Canis lupus familiaris: one gene and its partners. The protein of the gene in region 1 interacts with the protein of each later gene in a biochemical or structural test. Links are inferred from orthologs where the notes say so. Each region holds a gene or a part of one and is shown in the gene's direction. Other genes may lie near its edges.

The links. The genes of interacting proteins can lie anywhere in the genome.
Region 2: the proteins of GABARAP (region 1) and STK3 form a complex in vitro, tested with the Homo sapiens proteins (2 studies listed by BioGRID and IntAct). The link is inferred for Canis lupus familiaris from reciprocal best matches to the Homo sapiens genes GABARAP and STK3.
Region 3: the proteins of GABARAP (region 1) and NEK9 form a complex in vitro, tested with the Homo sapiens proteins (2 studies listed by BioGRID and IntAct, with this or other methods). The link is inferred for Canis lupus familiaris from reciprocal best matches to the Homo sapiens genes GABARAP and NEK9.
Region 4: the proteins of GABARAP (region 1) and SEC62 interact in a test that uses a peptide from one of them, tested with the Homo sapiens proteins (2 studies listed by BioGRID and IntAct, with this or other methods). The link is inferred for Canis lupus familiaris from reciprocal best matches to the Homo sapiens genes GABARAP and SEC62.

Annotation. Positions count from the first base shown.
Region 1 is NC_049226.1:32,413,841-32,418,370, reverse strand, and holds GABARAP (gamma-aminobutyric acid receptor-associated protein), read left to right. Parts: upstream 1-1,482; 5' UTR 1,483-1,601; coding exon 1,602-1,691; intron 1,692-2,250; coding exon 2,251-2,329; intron 2,330-2,473; coding exon 2,474-2,592; intron 2,593-3,090; coding exon 3,091-3,156; 3' UTR 3,157-3,580; downstream 3,581-4,530. UniProt on the Homo sapiens protein: Ubiquitin-like modifier that plays a role in intracellular transport of GABA(A) receptors and its interaction with the cytoskeleton.
Region 2 is NC_049234.1:1,024,573-1,029,437, reverse strand, and holds the start of STK3 (serine/threonine-protein kinase 3), read left to right. Parts: upstream 1-1,593; 5' UTR 1,594-1,783; coding exon 1,784-1,809; intron 1,810-4,865. UniProt on the Homo sapiens protein: Stress-activated, pro-apoptotic kinase which, following caspase-cleavage, enters the nucleus and induces chromatin condensation followed by internucleosomal DNA fragmentation.
Region 3 is NC_049229.1:48,533,639-48,538,552, reverse strand, and holds the start of NEK9 (serine/threonine-protein kinase Nek9), read left to right. Parts: upstream 1-1,642; 5' UTR 1,643-1,785; coding exon 1,786-2,004; intron 2,005-4,216; coding exon 4,217-4,394; intron 4,395-4,914.
Region 4 is NC_049255.1:34,814,970-34,819,820, forward strand, and holds the start of SEC62 (translocation protein SEC62), read left to right. Parts: upstream 1-1,579; 5' UTR 1,580-1,700; coding exon 1,701-1,736; intron 1,737-4,851. UniProt on the Homo sapiens protein: Mediates post-translational transport of precursor polypeptides across endoplasmic reticulum (ER). Proposed to act as a targeting receptor for small presecretory proteins containing short and apolar signal peptides.

The DNA of each region.
Region 1 (4,530 bases):
CGCCCCTCTCTGCCCTGGGAGCCCTGCACTCCACACGGAGTCTGGATGGACACATGGGTCAGACTCTGCAGCAGCCTCACTCTAACTTCGTGTTCGCACTCTCTGGAAACCCCAGACTGGGACATAAGCGGAGGCCCAGGAGAGTCCAAACTGTCTGGTGGAGACAGGACTGGCCAGAATGACACACAGACATTCGGTAATCCGGGAGGCTCAAAGAAAAGCCAAGCCAGCTTTGTTGTGATTTGATTTTTTAAAAACTCTTGTACAAAACTGATCTAATTCTTCACTCCAAGGGCTGGGCTGTGGGTGGGGAACTGGGATTTTGGGCCACTGGATTTTCCCCAAACTTGTCCCCCTGCCCCCAACCTTTCCCTCTACATTCCCTTCTTCCTATACTCTCAGACCTGTAACCGGCGCGCTCTCTTTTTCTTTCCTCTCTTTTAAACCATGCATTATAACTTTGAAACCAAAGCTGCCCTAGGTCCTTCTCTCAGGGTTGGGAAATGAGGGGAGGAGTCTTTGTTCACATCCACCCTGGCTCCCCAAAGCGGAGGCCGAGGCCCGAGGGTCAGGGAGCAGCGGTGCTGGCTCCGGAGGAAGGAGCAGGGAACGAGTCGACCTTTGGTGGGAAGGGTCTCGGCCGCAGGATGAGTGCCCTGGGTGGGGTCGGAGGGACAGCCGTGGGTCCCGGCGAACCAGAGCTGCAGGGCAGGAGGAAGCCGCGGTCCGTGAGCAGGCGCACCGACGTGGACGCAGAGAGTGCCCCGGCCCTCGGCCCCGCCCCCTCCCCTCCCGCCGGCGCCCCTCCCCCCGCGGCCGGCTCTACTTCCCGCGGCCGCCACGTGACGCTCCGCCCTTCTCTGAGATCACATGACTTTTCGTTGCTGCCAGTGCCGAAGGTGTTCCTCCGCGCTGACGTAGTCCCTACCTTTCGGACCTCCTCTCCGGTCCCCATTGGTCCACTCCTCCTGGGAACCTAGGCGTTCTGTGCGTTTCTGCGAATACCTGTTTCGTGTCTGCCCTCCTTTCTTCCCGGAGATCCAGCTTCTCCGTTTGGGTACTACTTTGTTTTGGAGTCAGCAGCCGCCTTCGGCGTACCGACGCGTTTCGTGAATAGCTGTCCTTAAAATTCTCTGCTTCCCCCCCTCCCCCTTTTCACCTTGTATCCGAAAAGACTTTTCGGAGCACCAAGCCTCAGAATACAATCGGCAGTTCCTAGCCCTTGTGGTGCCCAGCTCGGTGGGGCACGGCGGAATGTGGGTTTTCGGTTATTTTCGACCATAGCCCAGACCAACCACCTTGGCTACGTCGGCTGCGTAGCCCTCAAGCTGATTCCAAAGCGATTACGCAGGCAGCGTGAGGGGGGCGGTCAGTAGGTGGTGCTACGCCGGCGGCGTGAGGGCCGTTACGCTAGTAGCGTAACCCAGCGGGCGGGGCGGCCCCGACGGCCGGGGGCGGGGTTGGTGAATAGGGAAGTGGCGCAAGTCCCGGGATCGCTCCGCTGAGTCCGCCCGCGCGTCGCCGCCGTCGCCGCCGCCCCCCGTCCCGGCCCCCCCCCGGGTTCCCTCAGCCCAGCCCGGTCCAGCCCGGTTCCCGGGAGGATGAAGTTCGTGTATAAAGAAGAGCATCCGTTCGAGAAACGCCGCTCTGAGGGCGAGAAGATCAGAAAGAAATACCCGGACCGGGTTCCGGTGAGAACCATAGCCGGGGCCGCGGACGCGGGGCGCTGGCTCTGACGCCACAGCCCGGCTTGGGGTCCGGCGAGGCAGCGAGGGCATCGGGCTGCTGGCGGGGGTGGCCGGGGACCGGGCCAGGGGCTATCGTGTCCGGGAGCGGAGGTTGGAAGGAGCGGGGCGGCGAGGGAGCTGGGGGTGGGGGGCCGCGGCTGGCCGAGGGAGACGTGTGGAGTGCTGGGGAGGCTGCAGGGAGTTTGACAGTCGGGGCTTCCCATGGCCACCTCCCAGCTGGCCGGCTCGTCGAGGCCGACGCTGTCGTCGGCTCGCACGAGCCATGCCTGCCTAAGATCCTCGTTTATTATGACGCCCAGCCGGGGGATTCAGGATATCGAGGTGAGCCTGACGCTGCGGGGTCAGGATGCCTCTGCTTGAGGCTGCACCGCGTGTTCCCAGACAAAGAAAAACGAGTTGGATGGCTTGGGGTGCTAGCAGTTTTGTTTCTGGAGTTCTCGACGGGGTGACTGTGGGGCTGTCCCCCCTCGATGCTTCCTAATTTCCGTCTTTCTTTTTATAGGTGATAGTAGAAAAGGCTCCCAAAGCTCGGATAGGAGACCTGGACAAAAAAAAGTATCTGGTGCCTTCTGATCTCACAGGTGGGAACCTGACCCAGGACCCAGGTTTGCTGCCTGTGCGTGGGGGTGCAGTGTCGGTGGGAAAATGCTGCCTCCCCGTAGTGACTGCTCTTCTGAGGCCTTTTTTGATCCCTGTGACTTTATCGTATCTTGTCTCTTTGGCAGTTGGTCAGTTCTACTTCTTGATCCGGAAGCGAATTCATCTCCGAGCTGAGGATGCCTTGTTTTTCTTTGTCAACAACGTCATTCCACCCACCAGTGCCACAATGGGTCAGCTATACCAGGTATGGTGACTGGGAAGGAGTCAGGGGCTCCGCAGAGGTGTTGGAAGAGATTTTCAGGTCAGCAGTTCTTGGACTAGCTGGCTGGCTCTCAGTTTTACGTGTGACCTCAAAATTTTGAGGGTAGTCCCAGGTTGAGGGCTTGGATAAAGGTATTGGGAATAGAGGTGAGAACTACAGCAGTGCTTTGGATCCACCCTCTTGTCCACTTTCCCCACCATCCCAAGGCAGCAGATTTTGTGATCATGGTATCTCCCCTGCCAGGTAAGTATAAGGCAGCAGATTTTGGAACAGTTTGAGATCTTTTTGCCCAGGACTGCTGCCAGCGGTAATCTTGTTGGCTGCTAAGGCCTGGAGCAAATGAGTGAGTATGAGTCAGGGCACTAGCGTTTGGGGGTCTTCAGAAAGAACGGGCTTTCCAAAAAACGTGTCTGGGCAGTGGGTGGTTCACGTGCCCACAGCCCCGACGTCTGAGTGCCATAGTTTTCTGCCTCCATCCAGGAACACCACGAAGAAGACTTCTTTCTATACATCGCCTACAGTGATGAAAGCGTCTACGGTCTGTGAAGCTGCTGCCCCTGACGTGGGGGGGGGTCCGGTTCTACAAAGACAGAGGTGGCCCCCATCCTCGACCTACTCCTTCTTTGGGCTCATCCCTCACCTCCCTTTGTTGGGACCTGCACTTCCTAATGTTTGAGGCTCTCCTCCAGCCCTTCTCAGCAGGAGGGCTCATGGGGGAGGTGGCTTCTTGGACCTCTCCTTTCTCCCCTTCCTCTTCGACCTTTCCCACTCTGCTCTAGACTTCTTGATTGTCCGTCTCTGTCACATCCGGTGATTGTTTTGGTTTCTGTTCCCTAACTGCCCAAGGGGCTCAGAACCCCAACATTCCCTTCCTCTCATTACCTTCATTTTTGGGGGTAGAGGGAAGGGACTGAAATTGTTGGGGGGAAGGCAGGAGGCACATCAATAAAGAGGAAACCACCAAGCTGAACTGGATTTTACTTTGTGTTGCTTCCCGCCCCTTTTTTCCTAGTTGTCCTCTGGTGGGGAGAGTGGAGGTTGGAGGGGCAGTAATCCTACATTCTGGTTTATTCTGTTGATATTGGGTTACTGCTTGCGCAAAAGTATTTTTGTTGTGATCGAATACTCCCAAGTATCAGGTCATGAAACTATACTTTTATATACTTGTGTATTGGGTCCCAATGTAAAAAATACAGTGGCTTTTGTTTTTTTACTTTGGGTTCCTGGGGAGAAAGTAAGTATCCACTTTAGATAAATGCACCCAAGTTTGTTACAGCTTTTGGATGAAAGAAGAGATTTTCGTGCGTGGGAGCCAGTCAGAGGACTCTGTCCTGGGTTGCATCTCACTTGACCAGACTTGGTGCCAGTGGGTGGAATTCAAGGGAGCGAGAAGGGAGCCATTATCATCAGGAGAACTTCATCCCCCAGCAAGCATTTCTCCGCCTGGCCGGAAGTGGGGCGGTCCCCCGGGGGAGAAAGCAGCCGCAGAATGAGGCAGTATGGTGGCCGAGAGTTCTAATCCCTTCTTTTCCTTCTTTCTTAGTCCCGCCCAGCCTACATTTCCCAGGAGCCTGCGCGCGCTCTTCCGCTCTGCCCTCTGCTCCCAATCTCCCCGCCACTCCCCGGGGGAGGGGAGCGGTTTAGTGCGCCTGCGCTGTTCCTTGGCTTGCTGGGAAGTGAAGTTCCAGAGGCCTATGCGATCCCTTTTCCGCTGGCCCCGGACGGACTACAAGCCCCATGATGCATTGTGCGTCGGCGCCCGCCGAAGGGAGGGGGTAGAGAGGAGGGAGGAGGGAGGAGAGAGGAGGAGGAGGAGGGAGCAGGCGGCCGGCGGCGCGGGGGGAGGGGGCCCGGTCCGGGAGTGCGGGAGGCAGGGGTAGAGGGAGGTGGCGGCAGCGGCTAGCGGACTCGAGTCATAAC
Region 2 (4,865 bases), on another chromosome or scaffold:
GTGTGTTATGGGCATATAGATGAGAGGCATCTCTTTCATAACTTAAATGTCAGAGATAGTGGGGGTGGTGGTGCTGGTGGTTTGACTGGGAAAGTCTTTCTGGAGATTAAGATTCATAGCATAATTCAGAGTCCATTTTAAAGTATGACAATTTGATCCCATTTTAAAATATGACAATTTTTAAAGAAGATTAAATGCTGTTCTCTGAAAGATTTTTTTGATGAAATAGAAGAAGATGGGACTAGGGCATGGAAGTGAGGATGAGAAGTGAGGGATAGAATGACATAATTTCAAAAGTTTTTCCTAGTTTTTGTGTTTTAATAATTTAGCTTTTTGCTGTCTTGTTAGTTCTGAACTATAAGTCCGTCGATGTTTAGTAAATGAAAAGGAGTATAAAATTTTATAACAATCTCTTTTTTGCAGAACCTGACTTCAGGGTTCAACAACGAATGGTCTTAAATTTAACATAACTAAATTTAATGGGGAATATAGTGCTTTGAAAAATAAATCATGTAAGTTTATTACATATGGAAACAATGCAAAAAAGAGGAAAACGACTATTAGACAAGTCTAATTTGGATTAATATTCACAAAGTTCCTTTATTTAACATTCTCTTCATAGACTTTGCTCTAACCTTCAAGAAACCTCTATGACTCTACACCTGGATAATTTCTAATGAAAGCAAACTCATTACATAGCACCTTAGATGATCATAAGAAAGATATTTATATACGGAACTTCATGTTAAATGGTATCCTAAAAAGATAGATGCAGGAAGGGATCAAATCACAATGAGGTCAGGGCCTTCGGAAAAGGTTGGGGGAGACAGGTGACAAGAAGGAAGAGAAACTTTTCTTGACTTCTTTTCTGTGCACCATAATTTGTTTTAGGTTTTCCAGGTGATCCAAGCGAACAGCTGGCAAGACCACAGTGCATGAAATCTGTGCACTGGGATCTCACCGCAGTCCTAATTTTCTTTGTAATCAGACGTAATTATAGCGAAATGTAGTGAGGAGTTTGTCCACAATCAACATCAAACAAGAATTTCCAGTAGTATCCCTCGTGCTGTAGCTACAAACGTCAAACCGGGCGGGCGTAAAACACAGCCCATAATTATAAACAACTAGAGACAGAAGCGTGGGCAGTTAGTGACACTTCAAAAGGCTGCACAAGATGCTTGGGATGTGTCTTTGGGAAATCCAGAGAAGAAATGAGTCAAATAGGATTGGGGCAAAAGCCAATTTTCGGAGGCAGATGCGGAGCGGCAGCTCTCAGCGGCTCCAGGGAAGGTGCATCCCCCGCCCCCGGCCAGCACAGACAGGCCCCGGGTCCTAACTAGGCCTTGGTCCGCGGGTCTCCGCGCCCTTTTTCCGCTCGCAGCTCGGGGGCCGGCGCTTGACTCCGCCTCCGCCTCGGCCTCGGCCTCCGCCTCCGCCTCGGCCCCGCCCCCGCCCCCGCCCCCGCCCCCGCCCCATCAGGGCCCGGCTCCGCCCACCAGCCTGGGCCGCCGCTGGCTCCGCCCACTCTCCCCGGGCGGCGGAGGGGCGGGGCTCGGCGGAGGGGCGGGGCTGGGCGGGGCTCGGCGGGGCGGGGAGGGGCGGGGCGCGGAGGCCGCGGCGCTCGCGAGCGGGAGGAGGATCCGCCGCGGACTTACGGGAAAGTTGGTCCGAGTTCCTGGAGGTTTTCCCCGGGGACTCGGGGGCTCGGCCGGCCGGTGCCCGGCTCCTGTCCTCCCTGCGTCCTTCAGCGCCCACCGGGGCCGTTCCTCTGTCGCCGGCCGCCATGGAGCAGCCGCCAGCGCCCAAGAGGTAACGCTCGCGGGGAGCCGGGAGCCGGGAGCCGGGAGCCGGGAGCCGGGAGCGGAGGGAGGGCGGGGGGGCCGGCGGCCGCGGGCGGGGGCGGCTAGGCCCGAGCTGGCGGCGACCCCTCCGCGGCGGCGGGGCCCGGGCCGGGCGCGTCGGCCGTCGCGAGGCGGGGCCGGGCCGCGGCTGCCCCCAGGCCCGGGGCGCCGCGGGGAGGCCGAGCCTGGCGTCTGCCGCGGCGGCCGGGCCTGGCGGCGTGGGGAGTCGCTGGGGAGTCGCTGGGGAGCGGCTGGGGAGCGGCTGGGGAGCGCCGGCCTCCCCGCCGCGCTCCTGGGCCTCTTCCTCCCGGCGAGTCTCGGAGCCCGGGACGCGAAACGGGGCATGCATTAGGCTGCTCGCAGCCTTCTCGGCGCTTTTGTCCAGTGTTTCTCGTGATACTGCCATTTATTTGAGAAGGCGGATTATTTGTTTCCCGTCGAAGGAATTCCGTAGGAACAGCTACGTAGTGTGTGGACCTTGAGGGTGTACCGCACTGACAGGTGTTCCTTCCTCACCGCCCTCAAGTTCAAAAGTATTTATGGATGCGAGACAGTAGGAATCCTAAATTAGAACCCCTTCCCCGCATAGTGCTTTGTTTTGTTTTCTAGCATATAGAAGTAGTGATGCTTTGGTATTTACTGTTAGTTTGATCTTTGATATATTGGAAGAGTGAGAGTACACAGTAGATACTTTTAAAAGTAGTATTTGAAATGATCAAGCTAAATCAAGGCTGCCCAGAGATATAAATTCATAATGTGCATCTTTTTTCCCCCCAAGAATGAATCAACGTCATTTAACTGGTGTTGTTTAAAACATGTAATCTCAGTCTTTCATTTGTAATTTATAAAATAAGAGTACTAATCTTTCTCCCAGAGAGTGCTGTTGTGAAGATTAAGGAGTTCCTGTGTTCTGATACTTAGAGATCTTTAGACGAAAGGTGATATATTCAGGAACATGGAATAATTAAAAAGGTAGGAACTTTGTGAGCTGTTGTGAATCGTGTGACTAGACATGTGAGCCTTGAGGCCTGGAAACCATCTGTTCAGGTGAAAAAAGGTGGGTGTGTGGAAGGGCGTCCAAAAGAGACTTGTTATCAGAGCCCTTGATTTTTGTCTGGTATTTTGTATTGAATTCTCGTATTGATTGGGCACCCAGTTTTAGTATCTTAGAAGAAAATTGGAAACTTTTTTTCTTCTCTGTTTTGGAAGGACTGTAAGGGGGCCACCTCTGAGATGATGCCCAAAGGTCAAGTTGAACAACTCCAAATTGAAGTAGAAGCTCTATTCATTCATTGGCTGTAAATTATCGGTTTCTTTATAGGTATAAGAGATCCTCTGGCCTTGCAGGGGCTCTAGAAAACCTAGAAGGGCCAGGGGGAGATGTGGGTGGTATATATAACCATTTCATGGTCATTTATACTTTACAAAGTGATGCTTGCACTCCAACAGGCTCATTTTTAGTTCTCTTCAGACAGACTTCGTTGTTCCAGGAAGGCATTTCTGGAAAGCAAGCTATGTGACATTAAGCCCATATATTTGAATGTCACTTAAATTTTTTTCATAGCATTTTCATTTTCATAATATCATCATAGCAACCCTATTACGTAAGTTTGATTACAGGAAGTAATCCTGTTTTGTAGCTGAGGACACAAAGAGTTTGCTCCATGGAAGGCTATGACAGGGATTACTGAAAGTGAGTTTTTGTGTCCTCCCTATTGATTATTACCTTCTAATAATAAAATATGCCATTTTTGAGGTCATTTTTTCCCCCAGGAAATTTGTATATGCATTCCTTTATTTTATTGTCATAAGAAAGAGGAATCATGGCTCTGCAGCTTATTACGCTAGTTCTAAATTTAATTTCTTCATCTGTAAAGTGTGTTACGGGGATTAGAATAGGTCATGTGTAAAAGCACTTAGCACAGTGCTCCATAATGTGTTGAACGACGCTAAATGTTGGTTTATTTTTTCCTTATTAAATGAAACTCAGAGAGGTTAAATAATTTGGTCAAGTGGAGGAGTTGCCAGAACCCTGAATCTGATTGGCTGCAAAGGCTGTGAACCCTCTCATTGTGTACAGTGATACCTCTTTTTAAAAACACTTCTTTTAGCCTTCCATGGTGTGGTGGCCATGTCTTTGTACGATCCTGTGGGCCCTCTGCTTGTTCTTTTCCTAATCCCTGTAAGAATGTTGCTTTGCTTTTCTGCCTTGCATAGGAGCACTTCCTTAGGGCTCAGACATTTTTACATGGTCACATTTATGTTGCTGATGTTCAAGTCTGTATGACCAGCAGGTGTGTTCAGTTGGAATATTTGATATTTTTATGCAGATCCATTCTTTCATTATTCTTTCTAGTTTGTCACTAAGTCCTATTGAATTCTCCATCAAGAAGTCTAGATTCATTTTCTTTTCTGTTTTTCATTTTTGATACTACTACTCCATACCTGGGTTTTATGACCGTCATACTTGATTTACAGCAATGCCTTCCAACTAGGTACTTTAGGGCAGTGGTTTAAAAAATTTTTTAGCAGGAAGGCTGTGTTTGGAGTAGAGGCAGGCACTAGGACCTGGTTCTCACTGCCTTATCTCCTTCTACTCCCCTTTTGCTGCCTGCAGAACCTCCTAATGATCCATAGGACACTGCCTGCAATGGCTTTTGATTTGTTTTCTTAAAGCATCACTTTCACCATGCTATTCCCTTTAAAAAAATTTTTTTTTTAATTTTTAAAAATTTTTTGGTTTGGGGCACACTTGTTTACTTAGTATCCAAGACCCCTATCACTTGGTCTCAGATTTAATCCCCAGGCTTTTGTTATTCTTCTCCAAGATGAATCTGTCCTGAAGTTTCCCTTTTGTTTTTTATTTAGGTTGTAGGGTATGGGTACTCCCAACTTTGCCTTTGTTCAGGCTTTTCCTTTGGAGAAGTTTGTATTATTTTTTGCTACGAATCTGTGTTTTATTCTTCCTTAAAGGCCGGCTTCATATAGAATCTTATTTGAGTGCTTTCTAGCCTAAGGTATTCC
Region 3 (4,914 bases), on another chromosome or scaffold:
CATTTATTTACCTCATCAACCACATCCCTACTGATCATAAAGTTCTAAATGTTCCTCAGATGGAGATGCCTGGGTGGCTCAGTTGGTTAAGCATCTGCCTTTGGCTTGGGTCATAATCCCAGAGTCCTGAGATTGAGCCCCAATTCAGGCTCCCTGTTGAGCAGGAGCTTCCTTCTCTCCGCGCCCCCCCCCCCCCCACTCTCATGCTTTCTCTCCCTATCTTTCACTCAGGTAATTAAAATCTCTTAAAAAATAAATGTTTCTCAGATGGATTTCTCAAATATGGACTTCCTTTCCACTCACACTGATAGATAAATACTTCAGTGCCTCTTCTTTTCTTAGAATTTTATTGTCTCTTAACTGGTCTCCCTGCTTCTAGCCTTTGTCCTCCACATTGTTAACAGAGTTCTTAAGAAAATATATCTTTGGTCTTATGTAAAGTGACTGTTGTTTATTGTCTGAGCTGGGCACTTGAGCAAAATAAAGCTCTATTATGCCTGGGGAAAAGGCGTGAATTGGGACTTCCCCAGCAAATTAGGATAGTCACTAATCATATACTCCCCTCCTTAAAAATTTCAATTTATTTTCTATTGTCCACAGGAAAGCCAAACTCAACAATTGAAGCCCTGTCTTCTCTTGCTTCTGCCCTACATACACCCTGGCCTCCAGCCACATGACTTTCTCTTACTCTCAAGACATGCTCTCTGAAAGATGTGGATCCAGATTACTGGGTTTGACTTCCCTTATTAGCTGTGTAACACTGAGCAAGTTACTTAATCTCTCTATCTCAGTTCCCTCGGTAGATTGGGGAAAAATATGAGGATTAAGTGGGATGACTCAAGGAAAGACAACCTTTAACAGTGTTAGGAACAAAACACTCAATAAAACTTAGCTGTTAACTCTGTGATACAGGTCATGTTCCTACAGCTTTACAGATTTTAAAAAAGCTTGGAGATGTAAAGTTGCCCGAGGTCAATAACTGATGGAACATGTTTTTTCACTGTATTACAATTCTCTTAGCGACTTGAGGGTTTAGAGCATCTTCTTGTAGATTTCCCACCTTCAAATATACTGGCACCCCGTGCTCCAAGAATGTTGCAAGAGGTCAGACGGTCAAAGATTTGGACAGATACACGGAAGGAGAATGTTAAATCGGGGAAAAGAGAGTTGACTTAAAATATTTTGGGGAGTTGTATAGAAGAGGGAAGGACCTAGGGTGGTTCTGGGAGCAACGACTGGGCCTACGGGCTGAGATGACAGGAGGCAAGTATTTCCGCTTACTACAGTTATCTTCAGTATCTCCCTAAACAACGAGCACTGTCCAACGTGGAATCACCGCGCTCGAGATAGGCCTGGCGCCGAGATGCGACGGGGCGACCTCCGGACCTCGGAGCCGTTGGATCCTGGCCAGGGATCGGGGGCGGGTCCACAGACCGGTCGGCGACTCCCCGGCCGCCGCCAGAGCCCTTGGGTTCCAGGCCGCCCGCCCGCCCCGACGGCCAGCCAGCGCGGCCCGCCGGCAGGGAGGGAGGGAGGGAGGCGGGGGGGGGGGGGGGGAGCCGGGCCGGGGACTCAGCAAGTGGGCCGGCGGGGGCGGAGGAAAGCCCGCCGGGCCGGAAGCACCCGGAACTGCTTCCGGGTCAGGGGGCAGGAGCCACCATGGAGCCTCGCGGGGTAGCGGGGCGGACGGAGCCGCGGGCCGGCGTCTGAAGGGGGAGAGCAGTAGCGCGGCCAGCGCCGGCCGGCGCCGCTGGGGACACGCAGGCCGGTCCCGCAGCCGCCACCATGTCGGTGCTGGGCGAGTACGAGCGACACTGCGACTCCATCAACTCGGACTTTGGGAGCGAGTCCGGGGGTGGCGGGGACTCGGGCCCCGGGCCCAGCGCCGGTCCCGGGCCGCGAGGCGGCGGCGGCGCGGCGGAGCAGGAGGAGCTGCACTACATCCCCATCCGCGTCCTGGGCCGCGGCGCCTTCGGGGAGGCCACGCTGTACCGCCGCACAGAGGTAGCGGCCCCCGGCTCCGGCCGCCCCAGCCCCTCCTTCGCCGCCCCGCTTTCCAGCCCCGAGGCTGGCGCCTCCCTCGTCCTCACTTAGGTCACTTAGGTTTGCGTGGCCGCAGGGTGTTTGTCTCCGGGTCTTCTCCACTCTTCCAGCTCCCCTGCGCCGGGAGTTTAGATCCCCGGTTTTACTGACTGATGGTTTCTGTCGAACCTGGGGAACTGAGCAAAGCGTTGAACCTTCTCTGAGCCTTAGTTTTCCCATCTGTAAATTGGGGTTAATGATAACCCCCCTAAAAATAATCTTTTATTTTTTTAAGTTTGATTTTGAGAATCGAAGGTACTTTGCAAACTAAAGTGGCATACGAATGTGAAGTGTTGTCAAAACTTCCTTCCCTCGTGTGTACAGCTCTCCGAGGTCGGGGTGGAGAGGAGGGGAATAGCTTCAAAATTCCCACGTTAGTGGCAATTCCACCGTCTTTGCCGCTATCTTTAAATTCAGGTATGAACACCTAGTTGGAGATTTTTTAGAAGATCCTTGGGTTCGTCACTTTCTTCATCTGTGTTTGTGAATGGGAAATACCTTTCTGGCATATTCTAAGCCACTGTTTCTTAACTTGGGTTAGGGGGAGGCAAGGACTCCTTTGAAAACCTAATGTAAAAATAATCCGTCCCTCCCCGCCCCGCTTTGCATATATACACATCCTTTGAAGAGATTCATAGATCACTGACCCCCCAAGTCCAGAACGTATACTGATCTGAAGCCTTGTAGTGCTGACACTACTTCCAAAAACTAACCATCAATTGGACTTTATCACTAAAGTCTTAAACTTGAAGACTGTGGGTGATGAAGATTCACCCATAAATGATCCATTTGCAGTTCTGGGGTGTGTTCCAAGCTAGCATAGTTTTTAAGGCCGAAAGTTGGAGGAGGGGAAGTGGGTGGTTGCAAGAGAAAATTTTCCTGTTCTTTTTTATCTTAGTGCAACATTAATGTACAGTTTTAGGGTTACTGTTGGTATTCTGTTTTTCTTATTTGTACTCATGAGAAGGAGAAGATGAGCATTGCTGTTTCTGTTTTATAATTAAACTAAGACAGTATATTTAAATGACTTGACACTTAGAAGTAAATCTTGGGCTAGAACAGTGTTTCAGGTCTCCTCTCCCATGCCTTTCCATCATGTTGAACTTGATTATTGAGGTTGGTTTATGTAAAATTTGATTATACTTCTCAAAAATGGCAGACCATTGTTCATATTGCCAAATGTTTATGATGTTTGTGAATTTACAAAGGTTTAATTAGAAGCAGCCCTTTCTCTCCAGAAGGTTTTATTTCAGTGGAAAGACAAGTTGGCCATTAGTTTTTTTTTTTTAAAGCATTTAAGTTGAATGTGTATATAAATGAGAAAGGATGCACAAATATCATACCAGTGTAAGTTGTGAAAATGAAGGAATGGTTGCACTGAATAAAGGCACAGTAGAAGGTTTATCAGGATAACCCCTTACCCCCAAGTTTAAAAGTTCTGGCAGAATCATTCTAAAGGATAAGGAGAATGATTTAGGTGGGGATGCTCCAGGGCTGGGAAGCAGTATCAGTAAAGAATTTGGGTGTTGTAAAAGGGAGTGGATATTGGGAGCTGCAGATAAGTTGTCATGGATAGAGGGAAACACATGACACAAAAGTTATAGGAGCTATAGGAGTTGCAACATAGGGCAGGTGAGGGAAGTGAACTCTAAGCCCTTAGGCATCACTTATTCCTATCCAGAAACCATAAACAGAAATCACTAGAGAAATCTAAATTTATAAAATTAGAGATAAGTTTAATATTACCATTTTACAAGGAACTGTAACTAGCTATAGATAACCATGCTCTCCAGCTCTCCATTTCTCCCAATATTCTAGCCCTACTACTGCTTATCATGACTAGCAGGTTGTCATAATGTCCCTCAATAGAATCTTAGAGATCTACCTTTCCTATTTTTACCTGAAATTGACATCATGCAAATTAAGTGTAGCAGCAATGTAACAGCATCTTAGTGCTTTGCGCAATTGTATGAAGAACCTTTAAATTCTGTTCCTGTTTTTTTTAAAGGAAAAAATAAAAGGAGTCAGTCTCTGCCCATCTAGGAAGTTTTCTTTCTAGACTTACAGATCCAGGTGTGGATTCATTCTCTGCCAGGCAAGAGTAAAGCACAATACCTCTATTAATGTGTTGTAGGATGACTCACTGGTTGTGTGGAAGGAAGTTGATTTGATCCGACTGTCAGAGAAGGAACGTCGTGACGCCTTGAATGAGATTGTTATTCTGGCGCTGCTGCAGCATGACAACATTATTGCCTACTACAATCACTTCATGGACAATACCACCCTGCTGATTGAGCTGGAATATTGTAACGGTAAGGTCGAATTCAACGGGCCCTCCTTTGGCAAGACATTCTTGTACCTTGAGGGGGAGAAAAAAATAAAAGGCATATACATTGATTAAAAATTTTAAGTGGATTTCTAGAGTTGAAGGGAAATAACTCAAATAGTTTAAGAGAATAGTTCTTAGAGAATTTTTAAGTGAGTTACAAAATAAGGAAAGGGATTTTCCCCTGCATATTCAAATTCTTGTGCTTATAGTTCCAACTTCAAATTATTTGTTCAGTTGAATTTCACATTCACTTTTCAAGGTTTTTTTCACATGAATTAACTTTAGGCATTAGTGTTAGACATCTAACTAGGCACTAAGAAACATGTGGCATGGCACGGCTTGATGTAATATTAATGAAATCTTATGAGTGTTATTTATTTATTTTAACTCAGCCAAAGTTATCCAACTGAAAAGTGGTTTAAAGTTCATAGCTGAATGAAAATGGCACATGGTAAAGCATGGCCTTAATTTATCTGGTCTCTGATTTCTTTGGACCATTTTGC
Region 4 (4,851 bases), on another chromosome or scaffold:
GAAAAGAAAGAGGAGCCAAACGACAGGAGTGAGATGTAAATTCAAAGGGAAAGCAGAACAAGAAGTGGATAGGAGAAACTCTCTGCCCCCGCCATCCAGTATATAAATGGAGTGCTGGGAAGAAGGTTTGAGATGTTTTTATGCAAATATTAACTAGGAGAAATTTGAAATTTGGCTTACACGTGTGAACATTAGCCCTCATGAGCTAAGCATCCATACAACTATGCAACTGTTTCCCCTGTGGAAGCATTACAGCTATTAAAAAGCAAAAGAAGAATTTGAGTATCACTGTCTTACACCCCTGAAAGATAGAGAATCTAGATGATGATCATGAATGGCTGCTAACATCACAAAAAAAGAAACAACCAGATATTACATGCCTCCTTATGGAAGTCCATGAAATCCATTTGTATTTGAAATAACAAAATAATGGGGCGCCTGTGTGGGTCACAACTGGGGGGGCCCTGGGGTGGGGGAGCGGAGGATCGCCTTGGAGTTGGGCCTGGAGTTGGGCTCGAATGAGAGGGAGGCTCTCGCCAACACTCCAGGTGAACTCGCCAACAGTCCAGGTGAGCCCTGCTAAAGAGCTGACTGGGAGCCGGCAAGTAGGAATGATGAAGCAGGAAAGAATTCCAAACATCTGTGCTGCAGGATCAGTTGGGCTGGTGATTGATCAGCGAAGCACGGTTGGGATACCTCCAAGGTTTCTAATAGGAGTAACCGGGGGAACAATGACAAGGTTACCAGAGGTCTAAGATACAGCCATAGGGGTAGGTTTGGAGGGCGAAATGGTGATTTTGTTTTTTTTCCCCCGTTGGACATTCCGTGGAAATGTCCAGAAGACAGCTAGAAATAATCATCCATGCCGTATCTTTTGAGGTTCAGCTGCAAGCCTGAGACTCTCTAAAAGAATAAGGGGGGGGGGCACTCGACGGGATGGGCACTGGGTGATGCGCTATATGTTGACAACTTGGACTCCAATAAATAAATAAATAAATAAATAATAAATAAGAATCTAGATCTCGAATTTAAAAAATAATAAAAGTAAAAGTAATATAAATAAAAGAGTTACATATCATAAAACAAAAAATAAAATAAAATAATCATAGTTGGAGTTGGAAGAATCATTCACCAGACTTCAAGGCGCCTGCGGGCTCAGACTCCCCCGCTCCTCTTACTAGTTGCTTGTCCTTCCCTAAATTCTGCCTCTCGGATTTTGAGAAACAAGATAGAAGACGGGATGGAGAATCCAACGTTTTGTTTTCGAGGCGCTGCAGCACCCGGGGCTCCGCAGGGGCGGGAGGATGGGTTGAGGCCCGGGCCCCGCCAGGCCCCCGCGGTGCAGACCGGGAGTGCGCCGAGTGGGGGCGGGGCGGGAGCCCGCATGTCCGGCGACCGCCCGCCCAGGTGCTGCAGGTGCAGGCGCAGGTGCTCCTCCGTCCGCGCCCTCCCGCTCTCCGGACCGCGTCTCAGTCTCCTCCCGGTCCCAGGGAGAGTTCCAGTTCCCGCAGCACGGGGGGACGAGTGGGGAGGAGAAGCAAGGAGCCGACCAGGCCGGCGCGGCCGCCGCCTCTCGCGGGCTCCCCTCCCCGCCCGCCCGCCCGCCGCCCGATTACATAACGGGCCCACGCGCGCTCTCGCGAGGCTTCCACCGCCCCCTCCTCGCTCCACGTCAGAGGGAACCGGGCGGAGCGGCCAACATGGCGGAGCGCAGGAGACACAAGAAGCGGATCCAGGTAGGAAAGGCGAGCCCCCCGCTCCCACCCGGGGCAAGGGGGCTTCGGGGCGCTCGGCAGGAGACGCGGCGAGGGGAGCGCCCCGGGAGGGCGAGGCCGGTGGGGCGGCCCCGCGCGAGGCGCCGTTGTGAGGGGGCCTGAGGGGGGGCGGTGTCGGCGACGGGGACGGGGACGGGGACGGCGACGGCGACGGCTGGGAGCGAGGCGGGCGAGGGGCGGCCGCGGCGGGAGGCGAGAGGCGCCGCGCTCGGGGCGGGCCGCCCGGGGTCCCCGAGGCCGCCCCGCCGGGCCTGCGCCGCGCCCCCGGCCTCCCGCGCCCCCCGCGGCCTCGGCCTCGCGCGCTCGTTACCCCGAAGTCGCGGCCGCGGGACGCAGGGTGGGAGGAGGTGGGGCCCACGGACCCGCGGCGGCCGGCGCTTTGTGCGCGGGCGGGACGCGTCTGCTGCTGCCCGGCGGGGCCCGCGCGGCGCTCGGCCTCCAGACGTGCAGCGGCGCCCGCGACGCGGCGGAGACACACGGCGGCGGGGTCGCGCCCTGCAGCCCGCCCCGCCGCCCCGCCGCCCGCGCTCGTCACCTGTGCGTTGCTCCCCGGCGGCTCCTCCGTCGTCCTGCCTTTGGGCCAAGCGGGCGAAGCCGCGCCGAACGCCGTAGACCTGGCGTGGTGTTTCCCAGCCGCCGCCTCAGCCTAACCTGCCGGAAACCTCCCGCGTCGTCGCAGATCCACACGGCGTACTCGGTTGATGCTGCCCATCCCGTCTGTCTCCTCGGGTCCCGATGCTTAGAATGACTAGTTTTTTTCTCTGTAATGTCCTATTCCTCCGTTTAAAATTATATGTATAGATAGATCTAGATCTGGATCTATTTTGTGGTCACTTACTTGGGCCTTATCACAGGTGATTTGAGCCATGCACGTTAACATCCTCCAGAAAACTATGAAGTGCTAGCGGGGAAAGGATGCCAGTGACCAGCAAACCTGGGATTTTTGGAATCGGGCAGAAATAGGGAAGTAGTTCCCAACAGAGTACAGAAGAGATACAGAAAGAGACAAATTGCCCCAAGTTCCAGCAGGTCATCGGACTAGGGTTTAAGGTTATTGTGGAACATCTTTCTTTCTTTTCTTTCTTTCCTTCCTTCTTTCCTTCTTTCTTTCCTTCTTAATTTCCTTCTTTCTTTCTTTCCTTTTCTTTTTTCATTTCTTTCTCAAACTATTCCTAAGTTTCAGAATTCGGTGTTTGTTATTGGTTGGGTATGGTCAGAGTTTGTATTGAAGTCGTTGGTCAAATTTGTACTTAAAGTAACACAGATAGTACATGTTATGCCTTTGAATACACATTATTTGTACAATTTCAGCTTTTCTTTGCCATTGGTTATAAAGGTGATCCTTATTCACTTTTGACTAGCTGCCCCCCCCCCCCTTTTTTTTTCCTTCAATTTTGATCTTCTGTCAAATGGTAAGGTACATTAAGAAGCCATGTAGTAGTGGCAGGGAGCTAAAACTTGAGCCAGGCTTGCCTGTTTGTACCCTGGTTTCACTAATTATTAGTTGTGTAACTTTGGGCACGTTACTTAACTTTTTACCTCAATTTACAAATTAGAAGAAAGGATATGTACCTCACCAAAGGTTTGTAAGGTTGTTGTGAAAAATAGATGAGTCAGGGATTTGTTATTAAAGGTTGTAGAAGTTATTAAGAGTATTCAGCATATCACTCCTTCCTTTTCCTGTACCCAAAAGGAGGAAGGATTTAGGATAATTTTTTTTTTTTTTTGTTAACCATTCTGATACGCTGAAAAAAGATTAACAGCTATCTGTTTAGTGAATAAACCATTAAGTTGTAAGCTCCATAAAGTATACCTGTTTACCTGATATTGTTTGAGGATCAGATAAATATGTGAGAATCTGATTGACATATTGCTAAAAGAAAACATATTACATTTATTTTTCCCATTCTGGAAGTTTATACATAGCTGTGCTAAAATGTTGTGGACCTCTTGGGAATGCTACTTAGAGTACCACTACACAGTGTTAACAAACCAGTAAAAATGTAAAATATAACATCCTTGGGTTCCCCCCCCCCCCCCCCCCCCCCCCCGCCAATGAGAAACTATAATATTGGCATCGCTTTAGACAAAAAGATCAAATGTAATGAAAGTTCATAGTTGAAGTTACAGAAAAGATTCTATTGTAAGACTTCGGGGCAAAAAGGTCTGTAATATCAACTCAGTTTCCTGTTGTTACTTGATGCTTCATGTTTTAAAAAAGATTTTTATGTCTAATAGATTCAAGTGACCTTGAATTGTAATTTGTACATTGGAAGAAATGATTGATACAATTTCAGGGTCTGGAAAATTAGCTAATTATTTGCTTTTTCTAGGGTTATGAAATTTCAGATTCTGATATCCCGTCAAAGTTAGAAGGAAGGGGACTATTTTACCACATTTTCTTAGATTCATTTTACTGATCACTGAAAACTGGAAGTGAGCCACATGTTTATTAACATTATAATAGGAAACCATAATGATGGAGATTCTCAAAGAGTAATGTCAATCCAAATTAATGGACCATTTGAAAATAAATAACTTTAAGATTTAAGAAATTAATTTTGTAGGTTTTTAAGAATATGCAATATGTGCTTGTTGGTTAACAAAGTGCTTACTGGTTTGGAATCTTGGTATCATGAAATTTTAGAGTTGAGAAGGATTTTCAGATTGTAAAATTTGTGTGGAATCCCTTTGCACAAAGGGAGTTCTTATGTAAAAAAGCAGAACGATGGGCCCAAACAAAGCCCTATCACCTCAGTACCCCACTACCATCTTGCCATACCTCATGGTCCTTTAGGCTATTTTTAGGACCTACATCTAAAAGTTTACTAGGCATAAAACTTATTGATATATCACTGTCATTTTATAGATAAACTGAGGTTCAGTGAGGTTATATGACTTGACCCAGGGTCACTCATCAGGGTAGTAAAACCAGATTTAGACCAAGTCTTCTAATTCCCAGTTGAGTGTTCTTTCCACCTCCCCACGGATAAAATAAAAATAAATTGTTCTGAAATATTTTAATTCTGAAATTTTTATATTAAATTGTATAACATAAAAATTTAGCATGACTGCT